2 linked regions of the Mus musculus genome follow. The protein of the gene in region 2 interacts with the protein of the main gene of each other region in a pairwise test. Links are inferred from orthologs where the notes say so. Each region holds a gene or a part of one and is shown on either strand. Other genes may lie near its edges.

Region 1 (7,563 bases), on a different chromosome or scaffold from region 2:
ATGCTCGTTCTGGATCCTACCCCACAGTATCTGATTGAACACAGTCTGTATGACTCAGCTGAGAGAAACCACTTAAATCACTATATCTCTGCATTTGAGACATAATAGTATTGATTACCTTGGCAATAAAATGAAAGCATGAATCCCTAACATCATTGATCATAATTAACCACACATGACTACAAGGCCTAGGATCTTGGTTTCTGTTATATTTTAGTATGATCGTAGATAGGATCTCAAGGATCTCACTATGTAGCCTTGGCTTTTTTTTTTTTTTTTTTTTTTTTTTTCAGATCTTCCTTCCTCTCTCTGCCTCCTCAGTTCTCGGATTAAGGGTGTACTACCATACCCAGCTAAAGTAGTATTTCTACAGCCGTTGAGTAAAATCAGATTTTTAAGTTTAGGGATCCCATATATGTATGAAAAATTTTAAGTACAGGTATCATAACTGGTGTTATGATTTAGGGAGTAATTGAAATACTAATAATCAGACCTGCCAAACCACACTTATGATACCAGAAAATGTAAATTATACTTAAGCACATACTTAACTGGGTTGTAGGTATAGAACTTACTTCTCTGCATTGTTACTAAGCATGTTAGAGTTGAGGACTTTAAGGACATTTGTAGGTAGTTGCTTTGACAGCATCACACCCTGTACTGTAAGGTTAACAGACTTTTTGTCGGCAACTCTTAATTCTGTAGTGAACAATCTAAGGCAGTCGCTCTCAACCTGTGGGTTGTGACCACCACAAGGGGTTGCATATCAGATATTTATATTAACGATCTGTAACAGTAGCAGAATTACAGTTATGAAGTAGTAAGGAACTAATGTTATGGTTGAGTCAGCACACCATGAGGAGCTGTATTAAAGGGCTGCAGCATCAGGAAGGCTGAGAGCCACTGCTCTAACATTAAGATGAGTCTACCTAACCTAGAATTTGCTGGGTCACAGATTAAACCAGAACAGTTTTAACACTCAGCATTTACAGACATACACATAAACTAGTCAGTGTTTTCATCTTCTAGATTTCATATCACTTGCTATCTAGTAGAGAATGTAATGTGTTCTTTGGTGCTCTTTGGCAGACAGAATCTGTAGATGAAGCTGAGGTTGCCACAGTGGACAATGTGAAGCAGGAGAAAGGCACTTTCTGGGAACCTGCTGCTAAGGTGACTGTAGAAGAAGTGAAGACGTCAGCGTTTCAGGTATGGGCTGCTTTTAAGCATGTACTGGTCAAACAAGGGAATCTGCCCTCATTACTGATGAACTAGTTTGATTCTTGTCCTCATGTTGAATTTCAAGTAAAATGTAGACAGGTAAAATTCTTACTTTATGGTAGTTGTACATCAAAAACCAAAACCAAAAACCATACACTTTCCCTGAAATGTTACCAACACAGACAAGAACACAAGAAATAATTGTAACCATTGTACCAAATATACTCTTTATTATTGGTAATTGCATATTGTACCAATGATGACATAAATGCATTTTCTGACACTTAGATGTCAGTTTGTTCAATTCATCTCATCAATAATAATCACTTTTCTCAAATATCACATGTACCTATTAATTGGCAGAAATTTGACACGACTACATACATTCAAAATTGTGTTTTGAACACAGGTGATAGAATAGGGTCCTAAGGAAAACAATGTTCTAGGTTTATAGTGCAATAGTAACTTGTTTTCTTGGATGTAGCTGTAGGCCTGAATATATATAAAGTTCAATTTAAGTCAGTTGTGTTCGAAAGCCCTATGAATTTAAACTGTGACTTCCCTTTGAAAAACTAGTTGTTAAGATATGTTTTAGTTTCACCTCAGTTCCTCTTCCCCTTCTATGCAAGATGTCTGGAGCCTTAGTTTTCCTTAATTGGCTCCAAAAGTATGTTGAAAGGTATTATGGCTCTCAGCATTTACAAACTTATTAGGAAATTCATGTTTTATTTCCTTAATGATGTTTTTAAAGACTACTCGTGGATAGTTGTTGGACAAGACAGCATTTATCATTGGGAACCGTTGCACAGTGCGACTTCTTGTCTGCCACATACAAGTTAGGACGTGGAGAGTAGTAGCACATTTAGGTTATTGTTAATACAAATGGGAAGGCTGCCTTCTTCGTGATCCTATGACTAGTTTCTCTTATATTATTTTTAGAATGAGTATTATGTATTACTTGTTTCATGATTTCCTTATTTTCCAGCCTCACACAAAGAGAGCCCGTCGGGTGTTGCCCTTTGAAGAAGAATACAGATCAGTATTTAAAGCTGCAGCAAGGGCTTTGGAGACAACTGAGTTTTTACTCAAACACTCTCTTGCTCCAGCATGGCTGCTGCCAGAACTGGAGGCGCTGCAAGGAAGGATCGAGAAGCTAAAACGCTGTGTGCTTACAGGGTAAAATATGAATGGCCTGTGTATCGACAGAACTGGGCTGACTCTTCAGATGCCTGCCTGGGTGTTTTGTAAATGAAATTGTGAATGTAAATTATGTTTGTATATTTTCATAGCACATAAAAGAGCTTTTGTAAATGTGAAAATAATCTTTATTTGACATAAAGAACAAGATGGGAGATGAGGGTGGGTATTTCTCATTGAGAGCTTTGGTCCAGTGTAATACAGGTGAAACAGTAACTGCCCAGGTCCGAAGGAGAGGGACAGACTGTAAACAGACAAACTGCCTAAGGAGCCTTAGCAGTCTGAAGTTATAATTTACAGCTAGGTTTGTTTGTTTTCTTTTTCCACTAAGTTATTTCATAATAGAATTTACTCTTTTAAAGAAATGGCACAAAATTAAGCTTACCAGCTTGAATTTTTTATTTCTTCCAGAATTGTCCTGGAAAAAAGCACTTCTTTAGCTGTTTGCTTTGTATGGAAACTGGCCTCAGTCAAGTGCACACAGCACTTTCTCCTGGACTCTGGCACCGAAGCCTTTTGCCACCAGGACTTAGTCAGCAACCTGAGGTTGGTCTCTGCTTGACTTGGCACAGACTGCAAAAAAGAGCTCCTGGTGTGGGGAACACAAGCTGCTTTGGGGTTTTGCATCCATGCAGCTTGCTTTGAGGTATTAATTCTTTGAGAATTCTTCCTGAAGCTTTTCATTATCGTCACCAGTTGTTATCTTCCCAGGCTAGCTCTTCTCCTTCCCAGCCTTCTGCCTCTCCCTGCAACAGAACACACTGACACTAGCTGTCTGCGGCAAATTGTGTACACATCTGAAAAGCCAAGCATTTAAAAATGACCCAGAGAGAATGCCTTATGATAAGAAACGATAAAGCTGTTACCAAAAGTTAAAAGCAAGATTAGTTCTGATGTTAAAAACCACACCCATTGGAAAGTAAGTGTGCAACACAGTGACATCTTTCCCCACATCGAGGAGTTACTCATTTAGCAGGTGGACCCAGATGTGGCCAAGGACAGTTATACACAAGGCACAAAACAGAAGATATAAAATGGGTTTGTATTTTTAAAAAACATTGATGTGCATGCATATATCTATGCCCCACTGTGTCTGGTGCCTGTACAGGTCGGAGGGATTGAATCTCCTGGAACTCGAGTTAACAGATCATTTCATGTGACGCATCCTGAGAAAGCCAGCAATCAAACCCAGGCCTCCAGAATAGCCCGTATTGTTAACCATAGAGCCATCTTGGTAGTTTGATTTCTTTAAAATTCTGAACCATGAACACTGTAGATGATAGCATTGTGTCATGTTAACAGGTTGGGCATGTCTGAAGGACTAGTTCCTTTTTGTAGCACTCTGAAATAATTTTCTAGGAACTGGTTGTATTATTTCTGGGTTTACTTTGAACATTTTTAGTCAGCTGTGCACTCTGTTCTTTCGTTGATAAAAATGCTTGTTTATTGCTAGCTAGGACTTCTGAGAGAAACCCTGACAGTAGCACGCTTATTACAAAGAAAGAACTCACCTCGGTCATTTCTGTTGCAGCAAACTTTGAGGAAAACTGCATCAGTGATGAGACGTTATCCTTGTCAGGGACCATCACTTCTGTCCTTAGTTCAGGCAGAATAAGAAAAGTACCTGAAGGCTTAATTTCTGGGATCATATCTGCAAACCAGTCCAACTCCGGGTCTTGTACTGGCTTCTTTTTTACTTGAATGGTAAACTCTTCTCCCAAACCAAGTCCTGACGGAGCCTTCAGGGGTCTTTCTTGTGACACTTGGGGTGGTTTGACTTCCTCATGCTGTCTATGACTGGTCTTTGAGGAAGGACTGGATTGCAAAGGCTTTGACTCTTCAGTGAGAGGAACCAAAGCTGCAGAGGTTGACTGTCCCCCTGAGGTAACAGGCACAGGAGCAGAGGCTGTAGCTGTTGAGTTTATTTCAGTGCCAAAGCTAGCCTCACCATCATCCCAGGTCACCTCCTCTGCGGTCAGGTTTGTGTGCTGGGACTCTGCTACATCACAGGGTTCTCGGGGCCATCTGTGAATACTGGCAGGCTGCTGCTCAGGCTCCTCAGGCTCGCTCCAGTCAGGCCACTCCTCGGGCTTATTAGAACCTGCAGGGAAGCTTCCATTGTCCTCTGAAGTGTTTTTCACATCTGAGAGTCCATTCATAGGGAATTTAATGGTGTGAGAAAACTGATCACCTATGGGTATATGCGAGAATTAGTCTCATGAAATCTTAAAGCAAGCAATAAGTAGGTCTAATTGGAAATATCCATGAACACTAGCAAAAGTTAGGCAGTAGAACATAAAGATGCCAAATAGGGGCTGGTGAGATGGCTCAGCAGGTAAGAGCACCCGACTGCTCTTCCGAAGGTCCGGAGTTCAAATCCCAGCAACCACATGGTGGCTCACAACCATCCATAATGAGATCTGACGCCCTCTTCTGGAGTGTCTGAAGACAGCTACAGTGTACTTACATATAATAAGTAATAAATAAATCTTTTAAAAAAAAAGATGCCAAATAAATTCTCCAAATCCACATGGCACTTAACTCAAAGGCATACCATGTCATAATTAACTGATCTTTTTAGATCATTGACTAAATGTCCAAATACCTGTTGGCATAAGTCTTTCAAATACAGATAAATACAGAATCAGTCTTATCCTTTGGTAGTAATTACACCTAGAAATGTGTGCTCAAGTAAGTTTTTTGTTTGTTTGTTTTTTATTTATTTACTGGGGTTGGCAAGGAGGGGATCTGGGTGCATACATGCCAGATAGTGTATAGGTAAAGGACAGAGTGCAGTTGGTTCTACTTTTTCATTGAACTTGGGTTGCTAGCCTTTCGCCACAAGAGCTTTTACCTCCTGAGCCATCTGTCCAGCCCATTTCACTGTTCCGAGACTCATCTTTAACTGTGTGTGTACACGTGCATGTGGGTGAAGTGCCCACAGACGTCAGAGGACAGGATGCCCTAGAGCTGGAGTTAGTTAGAGGCCAGTGCTGGGGACCAAACTTGTGTCCCCTGCAAGAGTAATTTGTTCTTTTAACGAACTGCTGAACCATCAATCTGTCTGGCCCACAAATAAGTTTAAAACAGATTTTCTCAAATGTCATCAGGTATTGAGGGATCTAGGTTTACTCCAGTTTCCTATCCTAGTGAACATTTTTGGCTACGTGTCTTTATTAACATCTTATAGAACTCTTCACTTTTGGTATATTATGATGCAGAAGGTATCAGAATACCAAAGCATCTGATACAAAAATGAATTCAAGTACTGTTAATGTACAATGTGGGAGGATTAGATGCATAACAACTGTTTGGAGAGGTCAGACAAGACAGCTAGTCCAAAGTGTACTTACCATTCTCAGGAACAGCTCAGAGCAGTAGGACACAGCTGAGGTTCTTACCTGTCTGTGAGAGAGAGCTGTAACATTCTTCCTGTATGCGCTTCCTGCTGCTGCTGGGCACGTTGCCAGACAACCATTTAGGGAATACGTTAGACGAGGGGTCCTCCAAGACTTTTGAGACCCGACTCTGCTGGCTGCAGACAACATGCATGGGAGAACCTGAAGGGAGAGGGGTGTGCTTACACCTTGGACATGATTGGTGAGCAACAGTCAGGGGAAATGGTGCATGTAGCACAGATAAAAGAACATCATTAAATATTTGGTGAAAAAAACATTATTAAATGGGTTTCCTGTCTCCTGAGGTTAAAGACAGGTTCTGTTGCCACTTGGTGATGGGACAGAACTATGAGGCAATGCATAGATAAAATTTCAGTCCTTAAAATTGTTCTGGTAGCAATGTAAGACCATGATTCTAATTTCCTTTTAAGAATAAAAGGCTAGTAAGAGTACAAGCCCAAAATAATGACTTAGCACCACAGAACTATACACTGAAAATAACTTTTCTGTTGTGGTATTTGACAGTGAGTGAGGAAAGCAGGCTTAACAATTACCAGGAAACTTACACTTAAGATTAGATGTCAGTCAGAAAGATTTCTAATTACAGCTGAATATTTCCCCTACTTTAAAGCTAGGCTAAGGGGAGTGAAGTGTCACTCTAAGGCTTCAGCTCTCTAGAGCACCTGTCTCTCTCCTTCACCCTCAGCGCTCAGTGTCTAGCACTCCAATCCAAGGAACTGCATTAGAGACCCAGGATTTTGTAAAGAAATCATGGTCCTATTCAAGGTCATACAAAGTAGCAAAAAGGCTAATTTTGTTAATACAAAACAAACCAAAGAACGATTTCCTGAAGTACTCAAAAATATCTTTTATCCAAGTAGTCTAACAAAGTAACTTAAGCATCTAGTGTTAAAAAAACAAGTCTTTAGTCCCTACTAAAATTCAAATATATCCTCTAACCTACAAAGTCTGCTTCTGAGACTGCTATGGGAGTGGGACCACACATATAAAGATGCATGTGTAAGTATTCTAACAATACTAGTACATACTGACTAAAATCCAGCAGCAGAAACAGCAGCCATCACTAACTCACTGAATTGGATTCAGTGAAATATGAGGCAGGTAGAAAAGTGAGGTAGCGTTTATGCAATGACGTGGGAACACATCTTTAATATATAGTACATGAAAATAATAAATTTGTACATAGCATCATTAAAATAATCGTATGTAAACAGTTATCTGTCTCATGGGTTTGCAAAAAAGGATTCTCACTTAAGCCATTAAAGGTTACTCTGTACCCACTATGAGTTTGAAAAGAGAAATTCAACTTTTTCTCATGCTTTCTGTCTATTAACTTCAACATGAACCTGTATTCTATAATACTAAAAAACCTAATAAAATAATTTTTAGTCTTACCTTCAGGGGAAAGGTCACTAGTTTTGGTGAAGCTTGGAGCGGTGCGCTTAAAGATCTTGGTTCGTTCTCCTCCCACAACCACTTCTGGTCCAAGTAAAGACACCAGCACTGCCAGGCTACGGAGAGTAATTGCCACAATGGAATTGCTGGTATCACGAAGGCCCAGTAGTACCTAGGAGCAAAATTGGGGATAAGGGTAGACAACCATTATCTTTGTATCCTGGAAAGGACCAACTGGCCTGCAGTCATAAAGCTTGTTCAAATGAACGACATTTAATTTCTAAGGTTGGTGGCTCTCTAACCTTCTAAAGGAAGAAAACAATATCCATCC
Region 2 (8,296 bases):
AGTCATTGCTCTTACCAACTGAGCAATCTTGCTAGCCCTACCTACCTTTCCTCCCCCCCCCTCTCTCTTTCTTTCTTTCCTTTTTCTTTTCTCTCTTTTTCTTTCTTCTTTATTTCTCTCTCTCTCTTTCTTTCTTTCTTTCTTTTTCTTTTTCTTTTTTTTTTGGAGAGACAGGGTTTCATTTAATAGCCCTGGCTAGACTGAACTCTCTCCATAAACCAGGCTGTCCCTGAATGCACAGATCCACCTGCCTCAGCCTCCTCAGTGCTGGAACCAAAGGCATGTTCCTCCCATGCTCAGCTAATCTTGACTTTTAAAAACTGATCATAGAGGGCTGGAGAAATGTCTCAGCAGTTAAGAGCCCTTGTGGTTCTTGCAAAGAACCGGGTTCGGTTCCCAGCACCTACGTGACACCATTTCCAGGAGATCCAGCACTTTCTTCTGGCCTCGGCAAGGCACCAGGCAGGCATGTGGTGCACATGTGTACATGCAGGCGGAATCCTCATACATATAAAGTAACCAGTAAACCTAAAAACAAACAAACAACCTTTAAGCTGACCACTATGTAGATTTCACCAATGCTCACAACTCATAACCTGGAAGACAGCTGTGGCTGTCTGCCCTGACTCCCTTCCCTCTGCTTTAAGCCTATTCCCTGGTGAGCGCACCTATCCCCAGACATAGATACCACCAAGCACATGGGGGGGGGGGGCTGAGAACTAAACCTAGGTCACAGGCTGTCACCTGCTGGAGGAAAGGGGACTGACATCATGCCAGCTCCCGTAGGCGCTGCCTCTTGAGTGCTGGGATTAAAGGTGTGCACTGCTGAGCTAGCTCACAGCCCCTCTTTGAGGAAGTCATACTGTTCTCAGATGAGAAGCTCCGGCCAACAAAGGTAAGGTGACTACAGAACAAACAGAAACAGGGCTGGCTCTGCATTAGAATTCAGAATGTGGATCAAGCGAGGAAATTGGCTCTCAAGAAACGGCTCTGAAAATGCTGAATAGGATGGGTAGGTGGCTGGGGAAGAGAAAGTGCTGGAGACAGAGAAAAGCAGATATGAAAGTGGGAGGGGCAAGAGCACCCAGGCCAGATGGCTCCTGGCATTATCAGCAACAGCTGCAGCGGGGGAAGCTGACCTCAAGAGCCCAGGGATCTGGGTATCCCACCGTGGGTGGGTCGTCATCCCGGATGAGAGCAGAGGCTAAGACATGAGGTCAGTTAAGGTAGAGAGGCCACTCTGCCCACATCTGACCTCATCTGCCTTTGGTGGATAGGAGACTCTACTAAGTGGAAGGCTGACACGGCAGTGGCTAGCTAGAGTTTGTTTCCCACTCTGTCCTAGAGGAAAGGCCCTGCACAGCCCTGGGACCTGCCAATTGGACAGAGGACAAAACAGAACAGGATGTGCCAAGATGGGCTGAATACAAGCATGACAGTGGGTTTTGGAAGGGTACAGCAGGGCTGTGGAATGGATCTGGAGGTAGAACTTAATCTGGGTCACTGCTGCACCTCTAGAGTCACTGGGTACCTCCTGATGTCAGGCCCTGAGGCAAGTACTGGATATAGACCCCAAAGTGTGGGAGGTACAGACATTCCTGTGCTCACAGATAAGCACTACAGAAACCAAGAATGTTAACCGAGCAGAGTTGTCTCTTCAAAAGGAGAGATGTATAACCTGTTTTCTACCTAGAAGGCTGGGAGTGGAGGTGGCTAGAAAAGGTGGTGACCTCTGTACTATCTGTTTGATCAAGACCACACCAGATCCTTCCCCCAGACTCTTAAGATGTCACGTGTAAGTTAATCTATAGAACCCATCTTTATGGAAGACATGACGAGTACTTTACAAAAAAAAATTCAATGCAGTCATGTCTTAAGCTTTATTGTGCACCTGGGACTGAGCTAATTATCACCCGGAAATTTTGATCAAATCGTGTTGTACTTAAATATGCCTAAAATAAACCTCCCAGTGTCGAACTCTCAAAGTCTGACCCAACACCAGCTACTGAGTCGTGTTGAACTAGGCTGCCTTCCTGCCTCATGCAGATCTTGGATCATTACTCTGCGGGCCAAAGTGTTTGCACACACACACACACACACACACACACACACACACACACTTCAGGGCTGACGAAAGAGTGAGAAAAAGTGGGGATGCAGCTCAGCTGACAAAATGCGTGCTTAGTTCAGTTCCAGCACCACCTAAAACTTAGTCTGGGTTAAATGAGACTCTATCAAAGAAAGAAAGAAAGAAAAGAGGTGCAGAGGATGGAGGGGAGATGGAGAGAGAACAGAGGTAGAAAGAGAGGAGAGAAAAAAGAAGTAAGAAGACAGAGAGGGGGAGAGAGGGAGGACAAAAGTAAAAGAGAGAGGGCTGGAGAGATGGCTCAGTGGTTAAGAGCACTGACTGCTCTTCCAGAGGTTCAATTCCACCACATGGTGGCTCACAACCATCTGTAATGGGATCCGATGCCCTCTTCTGGTGTGCCTGAAGACAGTGACAGTGTACTTATATACATAAAATAAATACATCTAAAAAAAGAAAAGAAACAGATAACAAAACAATGAACAGAGACTGGTGGCTGTCAGTTGCAAAGACGAGGGCTGACCTCCACTGGAGCAGACAGAAAAGGGACCCAGAGACAGTGCAGAATCTAGTACCTAGTAGCACTTTTCTCAGAGAGCTCTGGGAGAGCCTTCCAGGCACAACTGCAGATGTAGAACACAAAGACGCCTCAGCAAACCACTAATTATTGAGAGAGTGGGTTAAAATAGGGTGGTAGATGGAGTCCATCTGCTGGGACACATCACATAACCCCTCTGACAGAAACCACTTGCTGAGGTGCGCAAAGATTCTCAACTTAGTGTCTATTGAACAGCCTCTCTGTGCTGGGCATTGTACCAGGTTGGCGCTAAGTATATGCAGATGAGACAACCACAAGTCCCTACTCTCAGAAAGAGACGTTGTCCATGTGTTCTGGAGGATTATAAAGCAGGCGCTAGTGAGAAGAAAGCAGTACTATTCAGAGAAGATAAGGTGAGCAGGTGTTCTAAGTACCCAGAGACAAAGTTCAAAGTGAGCAAAGGTATGGAAGGGAAGGTGGACAGCAACGTGTTCCCCGATCGTAAGGGGCTGGAATACTGGTTACAATATGCATAAATGAGGGACTTACACCTCAGTCACTCATGCCAGTGGGAATGGAGAGAAAGCCCTACACTTTACCTTGGATAGTGCTTCCTTGACAGTTCCAAAAAGTAAGACATGACAGTACAAAAGGTAAGGGCTTTAGAAGTACCGCCAGCCCTTAGGGGCAGAGGGACTTGCTCAATCATAAGAAGTTAGGTTGGGCAGAAAAGAATCAAAAACGGCAGAATAACCCCTTAATGCGACATGTGTACACACACACACACCACACACACGACCGGATCTCACGTAGTTCCTAAGTATCGAGGATGACTTTGAACTCCTGAGCCCTCCGGGGTCCTGGGATTAGGTGTGTGCCATCACACCCAGTTTACTTGGTATTGAGAAGCCAGGCTTTGGGTGTGCTAGACAGGAATCCAATTGAGCCATAACCCCAGCCCGGGAATCTCTTCCTTTTAACACTAAGCTTCTGTCGAGAACAGAGCTTCCTCGGCATTAAAGTGAACACAGCCTTCCAGCCCTTTCCAGAGCTCAGATCCAAGGGTGGGCAATGCCAAGAGGCGCAACACAGCAGGAGCTTGTTCCAAAGCCACTCCTTCCTTCCCGCCCTCTCACCCATCTCCTCCCTCACTGGTCCCACACATTTTCCGGTCCCTCCTCCACGATCCCATTCCTTCCGGTCGCGCCCCTTCAGCCCTACATTTTTCCGTCCTCCTCATTGGTGAAAAAAACCGAGCCGCCCCCAAGTTGCAGAGAAACGTCGTCCGCATAGTCTTTCCCGGAAATGACGCTAGACCTGCCCCTGAGGAAGTGACAACAGGAGTGCCCTTGACGGGCAGGCCGGCTGGGCTCTGCATCCCTCTGCTCGCACTGCCGGGAGGTAGGAGCCCTTGCGGGGTGGGCTGAGCCGGGCTGGCGGCGCGCTTCTCTGCAGGAAGGCGATCGGCAGGGGGATGCCCCTAGAGGGAGGAGGTGGCCTTGGCAGCTGCACGTCCTGTGCTCCCAGTCTCCCTGTCCCCCACCCTCCCCAACACGTGTCCATTCTTTGGGCTTCCCTCCGTACACATGCCACCCGCTTCACTTTGGTACCCCATGGCCGGTTCCTACGCCTCTCAGTTCCTCCTTCCGTAGTTGGGAGTCTTCTTCGCTCATTCTTCGACAGCTTCCCTTTCCTTAATTTCCCATAAAAACACTTTTTTAAAAGAATGACTGATAAAAATTTTACAGACGGCCTTGGGTTCCAATTAGCTGTACTTTAAAAACTGGCCTACGTTGGGCATGGCACTTAACCTACCTGTTGCCCTGAGTATGGACGGTATTATAAGGTTTCTTCAGAGTTGATCAGAGAGAGCCAGTGATGTGTGTGTGTGTGGGGGGGGGGGGCATTGGGCTATACACAGTGATGTAAGGCACTTGAGCCTTGTCCCTCCCTCCATTGACCTTTTATAATTCCACCTCAGCCTTGATTTCTTTTTGGCTGTCAACCCAGTTTTTCTGCCCTTCTAACTTAACGTCTATTCAGTGATGCTGACTCCTTACTCACCTCTAGATATTTTTTTTTTGTTGTCGTGGGGAGGTTTTAGAGACCAGGTTTTATTGTCTAGCCCAAACTGACCTTGCCTTATATCACCTGCCTCGCCTCCCAGGAGGAGGATTGACAGGTGGGCCCCACCACACCTGGCCTTTGAAAATCATATATTACAGTATTTCCATGCATCTTGCTTCCAATTCTGTATGTTCCCAACACCTCATTATTCCAGAATTCTTTGTTTTCCTAGTGTGTTGACTTCCTATTGCATGGCCCCAGCTCTTCCTGCCTCTTGCTCCCACAGATGGCTCAGCGGCTCCTCCTGGGGAGGTTCCTGACCTCAGTCATCTCCAGGAAGCCTCCTCAGGGTGTGTGGGCTTCCCTCACCTCTAAGACCCTGCAGACCCCTCAGTACAATGCTGGTGGTCTAACAGTAATGCCCAGCCCAGCCCGGACAGTACACACCACCAGAGTCTGTTTGACGACCTTTAACGTCCAGGATGGACCTGACTTTCAAGACAGAGTTGTCAACAGTGAGACACCAGTTGTTGTGGACTTTCATGCACAGTGAGTACTGGGGACAGTAAGAGATGGAGGGTCTTACTTAAGTATTTATTGAGGGCTCACTATGGCTCTCTACCATGTGTAATGCTTATCTACATACACTCATTATGAAGACTTTTGAGACCCTGTGCCTGTCCTTAAGTATGCAGTATGGTAGGAGACAGATTGATGGTCTTCCTAGCACACTAGGAGACATGCTGCCTCATGCCTACGTCCTGTATCTCAGTGCCCGAAAAGCTCAGAGTCTGCTCCAGTGTGGAACAACATCGTATTTTAACATCGAAACCCACTAAAACTGTGGGAAGGACTGGGCAAAACATTATCAGTGCCACCATAGCCGTCCCCAAGTACGGATGGGGTGGGCAGGAGGTGTATCTTCTCAGTACCGCAGGGGTGTGTTTTAGAGATATATAAATGCCTGCCTTGTGGCCTGGTCTTCATTTCCAGACCTTTACACCAGATTCAACCAAAAAGCCAAGAACCCGATTGCCATCAGGTTTTCTGGACAAGTCTCACCGATTCTTTTGTTTTCTTCCTGGTCCTTTCTCTGACTCACCTCGTTGCCTTGACCAGGCCAGTGCGTGTCCTTGTCATCTGAGATAAGGCCTTGCAGGCTGGCTTTTTAGGTATAGATTTATTAATTGATTGACATTTCTGAATGGGAGTTTTGGGGTAGGGGATAGGGGTTGAGATAGAGTCTTGCCATTTAGCCTAGGTCAGACTTGAACTTATCTCCTCCTGCCTCCACCTCCTATATATGAGATTACTGGTATGTGCCAGCTCAGAAAAGGAGTTAATGGCCAGGGACCTCTGCCTTCCTGTGATGGTGGGGGGGCTTCGAAGGGAATAGTCAGTGGGCTAATCCTTCTTTTGTCCTATACAAGGTAGTTAATTGCATGGTTCAGCTTTGTTTGTTTAGTGCCAGGCACACGTCCGGTACCACATACAGAGATGATAGCACACTGTCTGCCCTAGGAGAGTTCCTGCTCCCCAGCCAAGGAGGGATCGCTCCCGTACATTGCAGTGTGATCCTCGGCCGCTGACACAAAATCAGAAGAAAGTTCTGGAGTGAAAGGGTCACCCAGAGACACTTTGTCTACAAAAAAAATCCCAGGGGCTGGAGAGATGGCTCAGTGGTTAAGAGCACTGACTGCTCTTCCAGAGGTCCTGAGTTCAATTCCCAGCAACCACATGGTGGTGAGCCACCATCTGTAACGGGGTCTGATGCCCTCTTCTGGTGTGGCTGAAGACAGATACAGTGTACTCATATACATAAATAAATAAATCATTAAAAAACAAAAACGGGCTCACAACCATCCGTAACAAAAATCTGATGCCCTCTTCTGGAGTATCTGAAGACAGCTACAGTGTACACACATATAATAAATAAATAAATCTTTAAAAACAAACCAAAAAAAAACAAAAACAAAAAAACAATTTTAGTGGCTGGAGAGATGGCTCCGCGGTTGAGAGCATTGGCTGCTTTTCCAGAGGACCTGGGTTCAGTTCCCATAACCCATACGGTAGCTCACAAACTGTCTATATCTCCAGTTCTAGGGGAGCTGACACCCTCACACCAGTGCACATAAATTCAATTTATAAGTAAATAAAAAAAAAAGGGTTAACCTTTGTTTAGCTGGGCAGTGGTGGTACATACCTTTAATCCCAGCATTCGGGAGGTAAGGACAGGTGGATTTCTGAGTTTGAGGCCAGCCTGGTCTACAGAGAGTTCCAGGACAGCCAGGGCTACACAGAGAAACCCTGCCTTGGTCTGGTGAGATGGCTCAGTGGTTAAGAGCACTGACTTCCGAAGGTCCAGAGTTCAAATCCCAGCAACCACATGGTGGCTCACAACCATCCTTAACAAGATCTGACTCCCTCTTCTGGAGTGTCTGAAGACAGCTACAGTGTACTTACAATAAATAAATAAATCTTTAAAAAAAAACAAAACAAAACAATGAATTTATTAAAAAAAAAAAAAAAAAGAAACCCTGCCTTGAAGAACAAAACAAAACCAATTCCAGCACCTAGCAAGTAGAGACAAGTGGATCTCTGAGTTTGAGGCTAGCTTAGTCTACAAGTCAAGTTCCAACCCGACAAGGGCTACAGAGTGAGACCATGTTCCAAACCAACACCTCCATCCCTCTCCTCCCCCCCCCCCCAAAAAAAGGAAAGAAAGATGCTTTTAGCAATCCTGAGGTGATCCTGGCTCTCTTGTTTTATCAAACAAGACTGGGCTTCACTATGTAGCCCAGGCTAGCCTCAACTTCCTGTTCCTCTTTCTTCCTGTCTTGGTTTACTTTTTTTTGTTGCTATGACAAAATATCCTGACAAAAGAAACCTAAGGGAGAAAAGGAGCTGGCCACAGTTGCAAGCAGGGTCCATCACAGTGGCGGGGGCTTGGGGCAGCTGGCCATATTGTATCCATAGTGAAGCAAAGCGTTGCTGTGCTCAACTCCCCAGCTCCCCCTCCCACACCCCTCTTTTTAAACATTTATTTATCATGTGTGTGCATACATACATGCTCGTACCATGTTATGCATGTGGAGATTGGAGGTTAGCCCTCTGGACTTGACTCTCCCAGCATGTAGGCTCCCAGCGGCAAGCACCTAACTTGCATGCTCACATTCTCCTTCTCAGAATCCTAGCTCAGAGCCACCCACCCACCCACAGCTGGTGGCTCTATCCCACCTTGGTTTACATCATCAGAATAACCCTCCATGGGCATGCCCAGAGACCCCTCTCCCGAGTTCAGGAATTACCGGACTGCGCCCCATTGCCAGGCTGTGCTTGCCATCCTGTCATCTGTAAGAACTCCACATGCCCTGGTTCTGTCAGGGGCCGTTGTCTCTGAAGGTTCTGCCTAGCTCTGAGAAGGTTCCAGCACGAAGGCTGGCCGTTGCAGACGCTCCTGGGTTTCTATCCCTTCCATTCCCCCCTCAGAATCCATGTGGGGCCCGGGGAGGCTCTGGGGAGAAATGTGGAGCAGCGAGCACTCAGGGCTGACTGTCCCTTCTCACCTCCAAAGGTGGTGTGGCCCCTGCAAGATCCTAGGACCG

What was found. The genes of interacting proteins can lie anywhere in the genome.
Region 1: the proteins of Txn2 (region 2) and Scyl3 interact in binary tests that used the Homo sapiens proteins (3 or more experiments, as listed by UniProt). The two-hybrid records come from large-scale screens. The link is inferred for Mus musculus from reciprocal best matches to the Homo sapiens genes TXN2 and SCYL3.

What each region holds. Positions count from the first base shown.
Region 1 is NC_000067.6:163,948,983-163,956,545, reverse strand, and holds the end of Scyl3 (protein-associating with the carboxyl-terminal domain of ezrin), read right to left. Parts: intron 7,405-7,563; coding exon 7,233-7,404; intron 7,232-7,232; exon of another isoform or gene 5,979-7,231; coding exon 5,820-5,978; exon of another isoform or gene 4,610-5,819; coding exon 3,930-4,609; exon of another isoform or gene 3,165-3,929; coding exon 3,108-3,164; 3' UTR 2,981-3,107; coding exon of another isoform or gene 2,830-2,980; 3' UTR 2,402-2,829; coding exon of another isoform or gene 2,207-2,401; 3' UTR 1,420-2,206; downstream 1-1,419. Other genes in the region: BC055324 (uncharacterized protein C1orf112 homolog), read left to right, coding at 1,090-1,209, 2,207-2,397, 2,830-2,964. UniProt on the Homo sapiens protein: May play a role in regulating cell adhesion/migration complexes in migrating cells.
Region 2 is NC_000081.6:77,924,636-77,932,931, reverse strand, and holds the start of Txn2 (thioredoxin, mitochondrial precursor), read left to right. Parts: upstream 1-3,937; 5' UTR 3,938-4,025; intron 4,026-4,977; coding exon 4,978-5,240; intron 5,241-8,265; coding exon 8,266-8,296.